Linked DNA regions of Lepisosteus oculatus. Each later gene encodes a partner of the first gene's protein in a complex. Links are inferred from orthologs where the notes say so. Each region holds a gene or a part of one and is shown in the gene's direction. Other genes may lie near its edges.

What was found. The genes of interacting proteins can lie anywhere in the genome.
Region 2: the proteins of s100b (region 1) and F-actin-capping protein subunit alpha-1 are in contact, whole or in part, in an NMR structure (PDB 1MQ1), measured with the Homo sapiens proteins. The link is inferred for Lepisosteus oculatus from reciprocal best matches to the Homo sapiens genes S100B and CAPZA1. Residues at the interface, in NP_006263.1 of Homo sapiens: Glu46, Glu47, Lys49, Val53, Lys56, Val57, Thr60, Phe77, Met80, Val81, Ala84, Cys85, Glu87; in NP_006126.1 of Homo sapiens: Thr265, Arg266, Ile269, Asp270, Trp271, Asn272, Lys273, Ile274, Leu275.

What each region holds. Positions count from the first base shown.
Region 1 is NC_090707.1:31,131,611-31,138,844, reverse strand, and holds the start of s100b (protein S100-B), read left to right. Parts: upstream 1-4,234; 5' UTR 4,235-4,319; intron 4,320-6,021; 5' UTR 6,022-6,041; coding exon 6,042-6,179; intron 6,180-6,907; coding exon 6,908-7,057; 3' UTR 7,058-7,234. UniProt on the Homo sapiens protein: Small zinc- and- and calcium-binding protein that is highly expressed in astrocytes and constitutes one of the most abundant soluble proteins in brain.
Region 2 is NC_090700.1:31,502,358-31,509,922, reverse strand, and holds the start of F-actin-capping protein subunit alpha-1, read left to right. Parts: upstream 1-4,553; 5' UTR 4,554-4,611; coding exon 4,612-4,650; intron 4,651-7,565. Other genes in the region: st7l (suppressor of tumorigenicity 7 protein-like), read right to left, coding at 371-453, 1,828-1,996. UniProt on the Homo sapiens protein: F-actin-capping proteins bind in a Ca(2+)-independent manner to the fast growing ends of actin filaments (barbed end) thereby blocking the exchange of subunits at these ends.

The sequences.
Region 1 (7,234 bases):
GTTGGGGCCCTCAACATTCTATGTTAAATAGTTTATAATTTGCCATGCACATTTTTTGCAGTAAGAAAAATGTTGTTCTGTCATTCCTCATCAATAATTGGCCTATTGTCATATGTGGTATACTGTATCATTGTGGGAGAAAGTGATTGCTAAAGGCTTTGGCATAATTCTAAGAGAAAAGGTCCTCAGCAAAACCTAGCATACAGTATCTCAGCTGTTGATCAGTTGCTTAATTAGCCTACAATTGCACACATCTACTTAGATAAAACAAGGATTAGGGCTAAGATGTACTTCTGGGACACCTATCTTATCCATGCTTTCAGTAAATTTATAATGAGGAAATGCTTATCTATTTACAGAACGTAAGAACAGGGAGATGTCAGAGACCAGGGTTAATGAAGAAGAATGAGTAATATCATATTCATCCCACGCACATATAGAACATAACTAAAGGTTCCATTTAACAATCAAGGGAACAAATTAGAAGGGGGTTGGTAAGTATGAAATATCAAAACATATACAGTACTATGGTTGCAAGTACTGTACATATACTTTACTTTGTTGCTATAAAATCCACCATAAATTCTGAAAAAGCAAATTGGAAATAAATGGGAAAATGGAAGTCAAAGTAAACAAAGATCCATGCAAAAAATATTAAATTAAGACATATCTGAGGGCACATGACAGAAACAACTTTGCATTAAATATTATGCTGCAATTTTTCAGTCATTTACACATTGTGTGCAACATCCATCATTTATTTATACACTGAAGTTCAGCTTGCTCCACCATGTCTCACTTGTATGTGAAGATCACCTGTTACTATTGGCATGATTGAAGACTGCTTGTGTGTAAAAGTTGCCTAGAGATTGAAATGTTATGTTTCAGGAATCAACTGAAACGATGGAAGTCCAGGAAGAACAGACAATGTCCTGGAAAGCTGAAGGTGATCACAACAGTCCAGGACCTTGCCATACATCTGCATAATAATTGTAGCTGCAGCATAAAAAATTCCAGGAATAAATAACTTGTGCATTAGCAGAATAACTGTGGCTTGCGAAGAAGCTATACATCAAGTCGAGCTAATGTGCAGGGGTAATGTTGATAGTCAAGAGAAAATTGCCATCATTTGTGACTTTGATAACATCAATGGTTGTGGAACAAGAAGTAATAATAATAATAATAATAATAATAATTGCTTACACTTATATAGCACTTTTCTGGACACTCCACTCAAAGCACTTTACAGATAATGGGGACTTCCCTCCACCAATATGCAGCATCCACCTGGATGATGCAATGGCCAGAACGCTCACCACACACCAGCTATCAGTGGGGAGGAGAGCAGAATAATGAAGCCAATTCATAGATGGGAATTATTAGGAGGTCATGATTGGTAAGGGCCAATGGGAAATTTGGCCAGGACGCCAGGGTTACACCACTACTCTTTTTGAGAAACACCCTGGGATTTTTAATGACCACAGAGACCTCGGTTTTACATCTCATCCAAATGACAGCACCTGTTTACAGTATAATGTCCCCATCACTATACTGGGGCATTAGGGCCCACATAGACCACAAGGTGAGCACCCCCTGCTGGCCCCACTAACACCTCTTCCAGTAGCAAACTTAGTTTTTCCCAGGAGGTCCCCCATCCAGGTACTGACCAGGCTCATACATGCTTAGCGGGTTCAGTGGGTTGCTAGTTGTGAGTTGCAGAGTGATATGGCTGCTGGCAGAAGTGGAGAAGTGGTGGTGTTAACAGGTAACTGTTATGTTTCTGTAGGTAGGTATACTACATGTTTCTGCTTGAAGAACCAGATGGAACCAGAAGATAATGTGTAGATACTGTACCTAATGGCTAATGTTAAGGTACTGTAACTGCTGTTCACCAAAGTGGCATTACATCTGGATGAGAACACCATAAACTTCAGTTGTTTGTTAGGCTTATTCTTTCAAACCCAATTACAATTATTAAGAATATACTGTTTTTTTCACAAATGAATGTGCAATTTTTTTTTGCTTAGAGGCAATGCATTTCACAGAGCAAATGTGCTCATTTTCATTAACAAACTACTGTAAAAAGGAAACGTTTTCAATTTCGTTATCCATCCATCCATTTTCTAACCATTTCATCCAATTCAGGGTCATGGGGGATCTTCAGCAAGCAGTGAACACAAGGCTGGGATGCCAGTGTAAAATAGGGAAGATACACAGATACACTCAATTTTCCCAGAAGCCAATTAACATGCCACCCTAATTGCCTTCGTTAAAGCACAAATCACAATAAACTTCCACTGCCATCTTTATAACCCCATCAGGTAAGTGAACATTTACCTTTTAGATTTTACAGAACAATATGTACATTACTTCATATGATAATATCCACAATATTCATTATAAAACAAGGTGAGAAATAATTATGTAATATTTTAATGCATCAGTTCCTTACATCAGGGTTGGGTCTGCTACATCACAATCCCACAAACTAGAGACATCCATGTGTCAAACTCCATGCAGATGGCATCCCAGGTCCAGGATTGACAAAATTATGCCGATGATAAAGGTGGTCATAGCCAACATTAATTTTGTAATATCACCTCATTTAGAATATTATGCAGAATTTTAGTCACCATGTTACAAAAAAGATGTTGAAAAATGAAAAAAGGGTGAGTGAGAAACATTCCGAGCTTTAAATGTTTTCCCTGACAATCAGAAATTCGAATCTGAAAATCGTTTTAGTCCTGATCAGAGATGACTGTGAAACTAAAAATAATTCTTTTTAAAACATGTATTTGAAATCCATAACAAGGGGCACTTCTTTACCCAAAGGGTTGTGGAGGTATGAAACAAGCTACCCGGCCAGTTACCAGAAGCCACCCTGGGTTCTTTCAAAAAATGGCTGGAATCATTGGATCAATTAGCTTCTACCAAACGAGGCAAGTGGTAATCGTTTGTAACCTTTCTTAATAATTCATAGTAGTCAAACTCCTAAAAGATACCGAGAAATTAACCTCAGGGGACTTCAACAATGAGTTATGAACCAGTGGATAAAAATGGAAACTAAAGGGAAGTACATTTAAAAACATATAATCCTGAGAACAGGAGAAACGTACAGTATGTGGATGTCTGGAACAATCTACCCCAGAATATTGTTGCAGGTGATAACTTGTCTTCTTTTACAAACTGGATGGATGAAATCCTCTGATCAAGCAGACAAACGACAAGCAGGCCAGATAGGCTAAAAGGCCTCCACTCTTTTGTAACTTTTCTATATTGTTTTTTACAGGGCCCCATGTGCCATGTTTCTTATGTTCATTTGATGTGTTTTCTGCTCTTTGATTTGATATCTATATTTGGATGCATTAGACTTTCATTTCATTTCAATTTCATTTCTTTTTCGGGTCAATATCTGTACTCTAATGTTTGTAATTATCCTTTTTTAATTCAGGTTTTCTCAGTTTCCTTCGAAAATCATGTGGTTTCCAAATTTCTTCTACTGATTTAGCAACATGATCAATAATAATAATAAGAGAAGCACTTTAAACATTAATGTTTTTGTATCTTTTGACTAAGTTATTTACTTTTCCCAAAATAGTGTAATCCACTTTGCCATTACAGAAGCTAGTATCATTTAATAATACATACTGTACCCTAAAATATTATTTTTAAACTTTAACTTTGAAAATGATCCAGAAATGTCCTAATATAATTAATATAATATAAATATAATCTTGATACTATTATAACACTGTTACTGTATGAACATATGCATATACAGTACCTGTGTCATACTATTTATTTGCAATTAAAATGTAATTCTCTTTAAGAGCTGATAGTAATTGAAATGCATTTGAAGCTTATTTACAGTACACTCTATATGATAATATTATCATATTAAATAATCATTATATATTTACTGTAAGATACACAAAGTAGGTTCAATATAGGAGGTTCAAGATTACTGAAATTTCCTTCTTGAAAATAATCTGTTCAAGTTGTTCCTGATTAAATACGTTATATTACCATCACAAGGCATTAATTAACCAGACAATGAGTTCAGTACTGTGCCTTATAAAACAGAAAGGAAGAAACAAAAACCCTTTAATGATAACTACAATGCAAAAGATCAAAATGGTAAATTTTTGTCACTGTCCCATGGCAGAATAAAGGGTGATTGTTTCAGACGAGCCACATGATTCAAAATGAGGCAAAAGGGCTACAGTTGCTATGGCAACTCTCCACGCCCAGCGTATAAAAAGACACTACTTCTGTTTTGGAATTTAGTTTCTTAAACTTTTCAAATCATCTACAAGGAGGTAAGTGATTTTTTGTCTAAGATTGTTTTTTGCAGATGGTTTACTTAAAAAATAAAAAGTAACAAAGTCATGCTGAAAATAAGTTGAAAGGCAACTTTTCTTCCTAATTTGTCTCACACGTTAATTTTACTTTTCACTTTAGCTTTTAGATTTATATAGATAGGTTTCTAGGTTTACCTTAATTAGTTTAATTAAATATAACGATACTACATTCAGGAAGCTTCTATTCTGTAGGACTTGTTTTGTAGATATTTATCACCTGTTGTTAGAAGACAAAGAACAGGTAAAAAAGTATACCTTCAAAATTAAATGTGCTTTAAGCAACTTTAACAAATATTTTATGTAAAAGATTGGGATTTCAAGTAATAATTCTCTTTAATGCTATTTATATTTCAAATCTTACTATTCTGGATTTTGGATAGATTTGAAAAATATTTCATATCATATAACCATGTTAAATATGCTTTACATTATACTGTATATAAATATATGAACCAAGCAAACAAAACAGTATACTTTATATATTATTTCACACATGATATGCCCCCTTCCCTGTTCTGGTGTATTTCTATTACTTTTTTGTTATTCTTGTGTATCTCGTGGTCTGCAGTGATTTCACTACTGTATGTGAAAGTACTGCAATCTTAGTCATTTTTTTAAATATAAATTCACACCGGTATGCTGCAAACAGTTGAATTTCCTCAAGTTTCTAATTCAGAAAAGAAAGCCTGCCTTGTTGAACAGCTAGGAAGTCAAACTTAAAAGGATAAATGCATTCATAACTCTATGAGCAGTCTTTTTTAAAGATAAGAAATGCCATCATTTCCAGACAATTAATGATTGACATATCACTTACTGGACAATGATTCTAAGTGAGTTTGTTTCTTTTGATCTATAGGGATAGCTAAAGGATATTATTTAGTTCAGTTCTTGAAATACATACTAGAACATGACCTTCTCAATTGAACAGTATTCAACATTACATGACCTTTTCAACAGTATGGGCATTTCTTTCTATACTGAAAAACTCAGTAGACCAACAAAAAATCATTCAGTTTCAGTGAGAGATGGCTAAAATATCGGTTCAATAGATTAAAATTAAGTAAAATGTAAAAGAAATTCACAGAATATGTTTTATATTTTTGAGAGCCACAACAAGGAATCTCTACAAAAAAGCAGGATTTACTCAAGTTGGAACCTAGATGTTTCATCTTTGGCATCTGACGCTGATCTGTAATAATGTTCATGGGAACAGTTTTCTAAATAAAATTGTGCCATGATATATGATTATTTGAAGAAATAGTGGTTAATGGTAAATTAAAATACCATTTAATTTAATCACGATTGAAAAATCATGAGTAGATTTTTAAGAATTACGATCAGAAGTAGAAGTAAAAGAAAGTTATACTCACATACAGTGTAAAATGAACTTCCAAGCGCTCACATTTAGATGATATTTCAGGGAGAAAAAAGTTTTTCTGAAATCCATCAGCACCAAGGTCCAGTATGCTCATGTATTCAATATAGTCAACAGATTGTTTAATTGTGTGCATAACTCACATCTTTGTCAACAATTTAAATCTAAATTTGCATGAACATGTACTGTAGAACAGCATTTCTGTTAATTTAAGACCTTAGGACACTGTAATCCCATTATTGTATGTGTTTTGGAGTAAAACTATTTTTTTTTGTTTCATTTAAGATTTAGGCCCTGCTTTAAATATGACTGATTTAGAAAATTCTCTGGCAACCATTATTGATGTATTTCACAAGTATTCAGAAAAAGAAGGCGATAAGCATAAACTGAAGAAAAGTGAACTGAAAGAACTGATCAACAATGAACTATCAAATTATGTGGGGGTGAGAATAATTGTTTTCACATTTTTATTAAGTGTTTTTGCAAAAGCCATAGTCATAAAAAGTTTTCTTGAAAAACAATCTGTTTGTCTGGACAGTAAAATATAGAAATACACCATTTAATTGAAATACTTTTTCTTTTATTTTCTAGTAATGAAAAATGTATTTCAGTTTTCAGCCTATATAAAAATGTTTTGTGGAAACTGATATTATTATATGAACTTGTGGAAAAACACATTGTGTAATTATATCCTGAGGATTATTGCTTTATTTTATAACTAGGAAATATAAAATGAAATGTTGAATCATTAAAATTTAGTTTTTAAGTGAAAATAATTCTATATTATTGCAGCACAGTGTTAACTACTGTATCTCATCTATACCATAGGCTATTTTATCCTGTACATTATTTTAAAGGAAATCTTGGAACAATAACTTACAGGCACTAAAATGAGAAAGGTTTTAATGCTAACAATGAATACAAGCCATGGGTAAATAATCTACATTATTTACTGTACATATAAGCTACAAGAAATACAGTATTACAATGTATAATTAAAAAAAAAAACATGTAATCCTTTAAAGAGTGTGAAATACCTTTACAATGATTGAATTTGTAACACACCCAAGTTTTCTTTTTAATTAATTAGGTTAAAGCAGTCATCAAGACAAAGGGTTGAAATGAGATCAAGATCATAATGTTGATATAGCATTCCTCTTTATTATTTCAGCAAATCAAAGACCAGGCCACGATGGACAGTTTAATAGAGAGTCTGGACACAGATGGCGATTCTGAGTGTGACTTCCAGGAATTCATGACCTTCATCACCATGGTGACCATCTGTTGCCATGAGTTCTTTGAGCACCAAGAAGACGAGTAGGCACCAGTACTTGCCAAATACAAGTACAAATCCAAGTTAACAAAAGTGAAGCAGAATATATAACAATTTACTTCTCCTAACCTTTATGGGTTTGAGGAGTTTCTAATAAGATTTAATTACAGACAATTTTGGCATGTGTGGTACAATGAATTTATGCTTTTACCCTTTTACACAGTA
Region 2 (7,565 bases), on another chromosome or scaffold:
AACTTTAGATTTTGATCCTATAAATTACACAAGGCATCATAATATGCTGGACATTTCAAGTTGTTTACATGGCAAAGAATATGAACAGCAAAAGGAATACAAGATGCAGTAATTATATCTGCTAAGGGAATTATGTTTACAATACAAAACACTACAAGAACAAATGCATAATTAATCATAAAAAGGTCTTAAGCTAATCTTTCATATTAACAAACTTTGCCGGTTGTATGGTGATAATCCATTCTACAGTTTCATCATTTTCTGTTTGAATTATTAAGCATCAATTTCTGAGAGCAACAATGCAAGTAAAATATTGTTAATAAACTGAAAGACCAATTCATTTTTGTCTAAAGCAGCAGATAGCGCTCACCAAAATGAGTCCAGAAATGAGTGATGAGGTTCCAGTAAGCGCAACATAGAACTTGGGGGTAAGAGTGTTCAGGAACACAGACACTGGAAAGAAAAAGGCTGATTAGCAAGGTGTTCACCTTAAACTGCAGGCATTTCAGTGCTTAACATTCCCACTCTACTGGATTTTTGTTCTGTTTTCACCCAAGACCAGTATATTCAGGAGGTACTTTCTGCAGAAAGACTAATATCACATGATGTACTTTCTTCTCTTTATTTTTAGTTATGAGGTCAGTACAGAAATGTACAAGGGAAAGGGTGATTTAGGGAAAACGACAAGACTCCCACTGAGGAGGAGCTTGAAACATTTCAAGTTTACGGGTTAACGACTTTCATAAAGGCATCATAGTATGCTGGATATTTATAAATAAATAAAAAAAACATACATATATAATAATATAAAACTATTCTACTTTATACGTTCATCAGTGCATTTGTATAAGTACCTTCTGTAGATCCTTAGATGTAATCCTGTAGTTCTTTTTAACAGATACATACCACAATGCCTTCTGGTACCAAGGTATAGTGATAGCTCTAATGTGTACTAGGACTTTCTATTCCATTATATAGGCCAACTTTTAAAGTATTCTGTACCAAAATCTTATATTTTGTCCTCTACAAATCATACAGGCATGAATTTAAGATTGGCTTATACAAAAGATTGATTTGTTTTTATTTCACTCAATGAAATTAAATTTGGATCAAAGATTATTATTTATTTTTATGATAGATCATAATGTAAGGACCAATCCAAATGCAATATCTCTGTGCAATTCTGTAGCTTTTAAATATCTTGTTTGACATACTGTTCATAGCTATGAAGCAGTGTGGTAGATGAGTACAAGTGTGTTAGGAGTGATACGAGTTACACACTGATGAAGAAAAAGGTTTACATGGACACTTTTTGTGCATCACACACTAATACACACAACAAATGACGTTTTCAAGAGGTGTCATACTGAGAATACTTTAAGATAGTTCTATCCCTATTTGCAAGTTAGTATGTTAGAAATATGATGACCATTTGTATATAATGGGCTAGTTAGTTGGGTTACGTGTTTACAATAGAATGAATTAACGTGAGAATGGCGCTTACTGTCTTTTTCACTTTACGAAAAGTAGAAAAGGCCTGGAAAAGCAACGATTTCCGATGTAGAGGAACATCGGTCGAACTGTCATAAGGCAGTGTGTCCATAAGGGAGTACAGACCGGTACCAAAATCTCCTTTCATGCAAACGTGAAGTTGACAGTCAGACATAAACACCTCTCCGTACTGGGGCTGCTTAAAGGACGCAGAAATACAGTTGCACACTCCACCCGGATCGTATAAAAGTAACTGTTTGCAAATTTCCCTCGGCTCGAACTGAAACCTGTCAGTTCCAGATAGCTCCCCTTATCATCTGATTCAACAGTTTTTACCTGTAGCGAGGTTTTCCTGTAGCTTCAGGGGGCTCCGGAGAATGTAGACTAGAGCCAACAGCATAGCAAACCAAAGGACCCATAAATAAGTCCAAGACCACGAGAGCCAGGATTTTAATTTCTCCGTAAATCCGGGAGACGATGAGCTACTGTTGTTTGCATCCGCCATGTTTACCCAGAAAAAATATAAACACAGGAACTATGGGATAGTGGAGGACTGTCCTCTGCAGTACTGTTAGCTGATAAGAATTGCTACAGCCAATGTGTGGAGTCACTAAAGCGTCATATATTTATTTAATTTTAAATGGTGAACGTCAGGCGTTTGCAGCTGTGGGCCTAGAGACGCCTGGGAGGCGTTTTCACCTCTTTTTAATTTACAGTGCCCCTTATTTTAGATTTAAGCATTTATAGAAAATAAATATTTATCTTGGATGAGAAACCATAATGTATGTTACTGTCCCAGTATATTCTCTGTCCAGCCTGGTTTTGTTCCCAACAATAATGCTGATTGTACTAATGATACAAAATATTGCACATTTATTATCATAACTATATAAAATAAAATAAACTGGTTTTAATGTTTATGATGTAAACGTTAAAAGATTTAATTTTATGGCTCTGAAGACAGTTCAGATGAGATATGGCAGAAATAGTATTTACATTTAACTGGATTGCTAATATTCAAAATAAATGACCTTAACATTTTGGTTTAATTTTGATCAAATGAAAAGGGACACTTACTTAGGATTTAAAATGTATTTGAAAGTGTCCTTCAAATGTTTTGCGTTTTACAAATAGTGAGATGTTGGCTTTCTTGGGCTGATGGCATATTATAGATATGAGTGATAGTCATCTCCCTTCAATCATTCAATTACCAAATACCATTAAACATTTGAAAAACATTTTCAATGTATGCCTACTTATACAACCATACTTATACAACCATAAAAAGCTAACAAGATTAAACTGGCAAAAGAGGAGAATTCTATAGTACATATCTGGATTTTTGAATACAATTATTTGTGTCTGTGATGGTGTTTATTGGGGAGCGGGGGAGGGAAGTCATCAATGTAACAGTCTGTAGGTAAATAGCCATTTTCATGTATAAGTAACTTTTAAGGACACCTATAAGTTATAGCATAATCCACTATACATCATAGTTGTCCACTTAAGATTTGTGCAGAATAGTATGTCGGTAGGGTGGCAGTGCTTGGCACTGGGGCCCTGGGTTTAATTCTGGACCTAGATTGCTGCCTGTACGTGTTCATGTGGATTTCTTCCAGGTGCTCCACAATCCAAAACCATACTGACAGGCTTATCGGCTTCTGGGGAAAACCCCAGAGTTTGCCATGTCTTTGCATACCATGGCTTGTGCTCGTTGCTTGCTGGACCAGATTCCGACTCCCCTGAGAACCCTGAAAATGAATGGATGTACGTTAGTACATTTAGCCTAAATTTGAACTAATTTCATTTCCTTCATATTTTCAATCTTAAAGGATTGCAAAGCGCTTTACATAAGAACACACTTCATCCGCCGGTGTGACATATAGGCCATCATATCTGGGCAGTCCCACTACACAGGAGACTGCGTCACCACCTGAAAATGTCAGGTAGGCTAGACTGGCCCCAGAGTGGAGTATAGCCTTCAAACCAGGTTTAACAGCCCTACACTTTCAAACATGGATCTTACAATGATGAAGCCATCATCCCCTGTTTAATTTCTCATCTAAAGAGTGACTCCTTCTCCAGCACAGTATACTCTGGCATCACCATCAATCACCACTCATCCTGTTCAGGATCTGAGGTTGGACTGGAGCCTATCCTGAGGAGCACTGGACTCCTGGCGGAATACACCATGAACAGGGCACACATAGACATGGGCATGCACATATAATCACACCAGGGTCAGTTTTACACAAGTCAATTAACCTACAGTACCAGCCGGTCCTTGGAGGAAACTATACTGAAGCATTGGTTTGGAATTTATGGACCAGGGGAAAGGGTGACACCTACTGGTTGACCAAAGCCACTTAAAGGCGCATCTCAGCTTTCCTTAGAGGTCTCCCATTGCACCTTGTTTAAGCTCTTGAATCTCTGGCCTTCTTTCAGTTCCCAATACAAGACTCCAAAAACTGGGAGACTGGGAGTTCTGTTCTGTTGCTCCAAGGCTGTGGATGACCTCCTATCCAATCTTGCATGCAAGTCAACACTTTGAAATCCTGTCATAAAACCCACTTTCATACTCCAGTTTTTAATATTGTCACAACTTCTGCACACCTGTCTCTTTTGTTTGATTATTTTATTATATAACTCTTGAGATTGTGCCATTAAAGATGTTATATAAAATAAAGTTATTAAAATAATTATTTGCTAAAAGCTTCATTGATCTATAAAATTGAAAATGATTTAAAAAATGCAAAACACAGAGGAAGAGAATTGTCAGTTAATACACCAATAAAACACAAACACCTAAATATAAAACATACAGTACAAAGATGATTAGTAAACTCTGAAAGCACTGTACAAGTTAACACCTGAAACAAATGTATTACTATACCAAAAATTACGACGATAAATTAAAGTGAAAAGGTGTAAATATTAAGCGTCAATTTCAGACTTTTAAGATGTATTAATCGGCAGAATGACCAATAGTCGGCAGTAGCACCCCCCTTTTTACCTTTTTGATGTGTTTGAAGAGGCCATATTTAAAAATAATAAGACTGCAGACGGCTTGTGTGTTTCCCATGATGCAGCGCATACTGGGGCTGGTCCAGAGGAGCCAAGATGGCCGACTTTGAGGAGCAGCTTACTGATGAGGAGAAGGTAGGGAGCTGGTTTTAAATGTTTTTAATTTAATTGTGGGCAACCATTTTGCAGATTACGTTTTTTGGAGACGTAAAAAGCCCCAGAGTCGATTCTCCCAACATCTCCGCGCACTTCCTACTTTTTTCAACCATGCAAAATTGTGTTTTCAGCTGCTCCGCTGCATGATCATTTAAAATGATTCATTATTTAAAAAAATAATAATCTTGAGGTTTTATAAAATGTGAGACAGGTTTGTACCCACTTCACTGTGTTATATTTTACATGTCGTTGCAGTCTTCTTAGATTAGGCTAAAAGTGTGGTTTAACTGTACTTGACAGGAATGAAGCCAAGTTAGTTCCGTCTTTGAATCCGGATTATGGAGAACAGTATCTAATATATTTTGTAAAATGTCCTATGCTCGGGCGATCGCGTTGTTTCAGGAACACTGTGGTATGCCTTTTCATAGTCAACAGCTATTGGCGAACTTGTATATTTGAGTTCCTCGTTAGGGCCTGTTTTGGTGTTAAGTAGCTGGTAAATCAGGTTAGATTTTGCAAACGACTTCCTGTTTCAAAGAGGTCCCCCTCCCTAGTGCCAAGTAACTGGGTTGATATCGATACTGTATATTTAAAAAAAAAATTGTCGACTCTTTTCTCTCTCTCTCGATTTGTTTTAGTCATTGCTTTGAATATTCTTATCAAATGAAGCCGCCTATTGCGCAAAAGTAATCAAATTGGAATATTCAAATAAGACTGAAAACAAAGACAAACTTACTGTCGAGACCCAATTGTCAGTTTTGCGTACCAAAACAGGTAGGTGGTATTTCGATTCTAGATGGGGAAACGTGCTGTAAAACGTAGCAATCTAGTTTGCATGGACAGACATAGCTCTTCCAAAATAAAATCTTCCCGTATAACACCTGAACTAAGTGGTAGCTGGTAATTGAGTTGACGCCACGAAAACCGTAAATGAGTTCTACTTTGTAACTGACATACTGTATTTGAGAGGTGTGCAATTATGCGCTATGCTGCCAAATTAGTGAATACTTGGGGATTTTTATGTTTATAAAATATTAGTTGTGAAGTGCTGAGCGCAGTCTGTGGTGCACAGAAAATGGGACAGTACCTTCACCTTTAGAAATGTATAATTCTAAGGACAGCCACAGACACTCCCTTATTTGTAAGCTGTATTGATGTCTTCAAACGTGGACTGCGCTGTGCTTAGTTAGAAATGGGGTTAGTTCCCCTTGAGAGCAGTTTTGGTTGCGTATTGGGAATAACGGAAAGCGAGTTAAATATTACTTGTGAAACGAAAATGTATGGAGTCACTTCTCACAGGTGGTTCTTAAGAGATTTTAATCAAAGGGAAACGGCTACCGCTGCGATTTTTAAAAACTGGCTTGCATTGCGAAAGAGCGCTGTGCGCAAGCTTTGCGACCAGTGCTGTGGGTTAGGGAGTATCTCTGTTGCTCGAACTGGCGCTGTCATGGAGTTCCCTTCTTGCTTGTCAGTTCGATCTCGTCTTGAAACCCGAATCTGGCGAGGGTGTGGTAGTTCCTTAAGTTTGCTGAAGTATTGCTGACAGCGAAACTTTCCTAAACGCAAACTCTTAGCTCCGGGCTCTGCTATTAACGGAGCCTTAGTCTAAAGGGGAAGGCGAGGTTATGTTGCGCTCTTATCCGGTACTGAAGAGTGCGATTTATCGGACCTGCAGGAGAGCAGCAGCAACGCTCTTCAGAAACTGCTGAGACTCGTGTATTTGACACGAAAAGTTCAGGTTTTGCCTATAGGTCTGTGTTCTTTACTGAAGACTTTTCTCAATGCAGCCTCTTGTTTAGATATCTCCTGTTCGTGCAAGTGGGGGAACTCACAATCTTGATTTTTAGGGTGTTTTGGATTTGTGTTGTGGAAGAAAGAATTCCGTCTTCACACAGGGGTGGTGCAGTGGGGTTAAAGTTATTAGTTCAGTTCCCTTGTGGCGCTGACAAGTGTAGAAATGTGAAAGTGCAGTTGACGAATTGTTCTGCAGTGAGATCAGGAAAGCATACATGGAGAAATGAAATAATCAATTTAGTTTAACTAATGTAAAGCATGCAAAATTGTCCTGTTACTGTAATCTCCAGATGTTGTTTTTCCCCAAATAAGGCTCACACCCCCAGCCTTACCAGTGCCATGATTTTGACTAAACCACCTGGTCATCTGTAGTAAAGTGTGTGCACGTCTTTATTTCCTGTAACTGGCCTTACAATGTATAATAAGTCTGAGAGTGTGATGTTGCTTGTCTGGGTTCTTGTGCGCAATCAGAGATCTTGGAGAGATCAGAGGGGATTCTGGGAGAGCAGGCTTTTGGCATGACCTTTCAGGTGCTACTAACTGTGCCAAACACCATAGTCCCAGTCCAACCTCAGATGCAACATATATGTTGCATGAAAGCAAGTTTAGATTAATAAATATATGTTGTCATGCTAGTATGCTATATAATATAATCTGCTTGTGAGAAATACAGAATTAGTTGCTGGCCAGATCACTGACATGCACTGGTAGAGGAGGGGGACTTCGGAGGGAGAGAGCCTTACCGGAAGTGAATTAATTTCAGTTTCTTTAAACAAATAAGGTAAGCAATCAATATCTGAAGTGCAATAAAATCTGGAGTCTGTGGCCCTCAATGAATGGGTGAGAATTTCACATCCATTATCTAGAAGCAGCCACTCAAGCACATTCATCCCAGTGTTGGAAGCCCTATTTATCTCCTTGATATGACGTTTTTGTCCCCGAAGCTCAGATGACAGTGCAGTGATGAAAAATGCCACTGTCTGCTGTACAAGACACCATATTACAAACCCTGATCAGGAAAGCAAAAGATCTGTTCTGACGTGACTTTAGTCTCAAATCTGTCTTAACCTGGAAGCCAAAGATAAAATATTCATATTGGC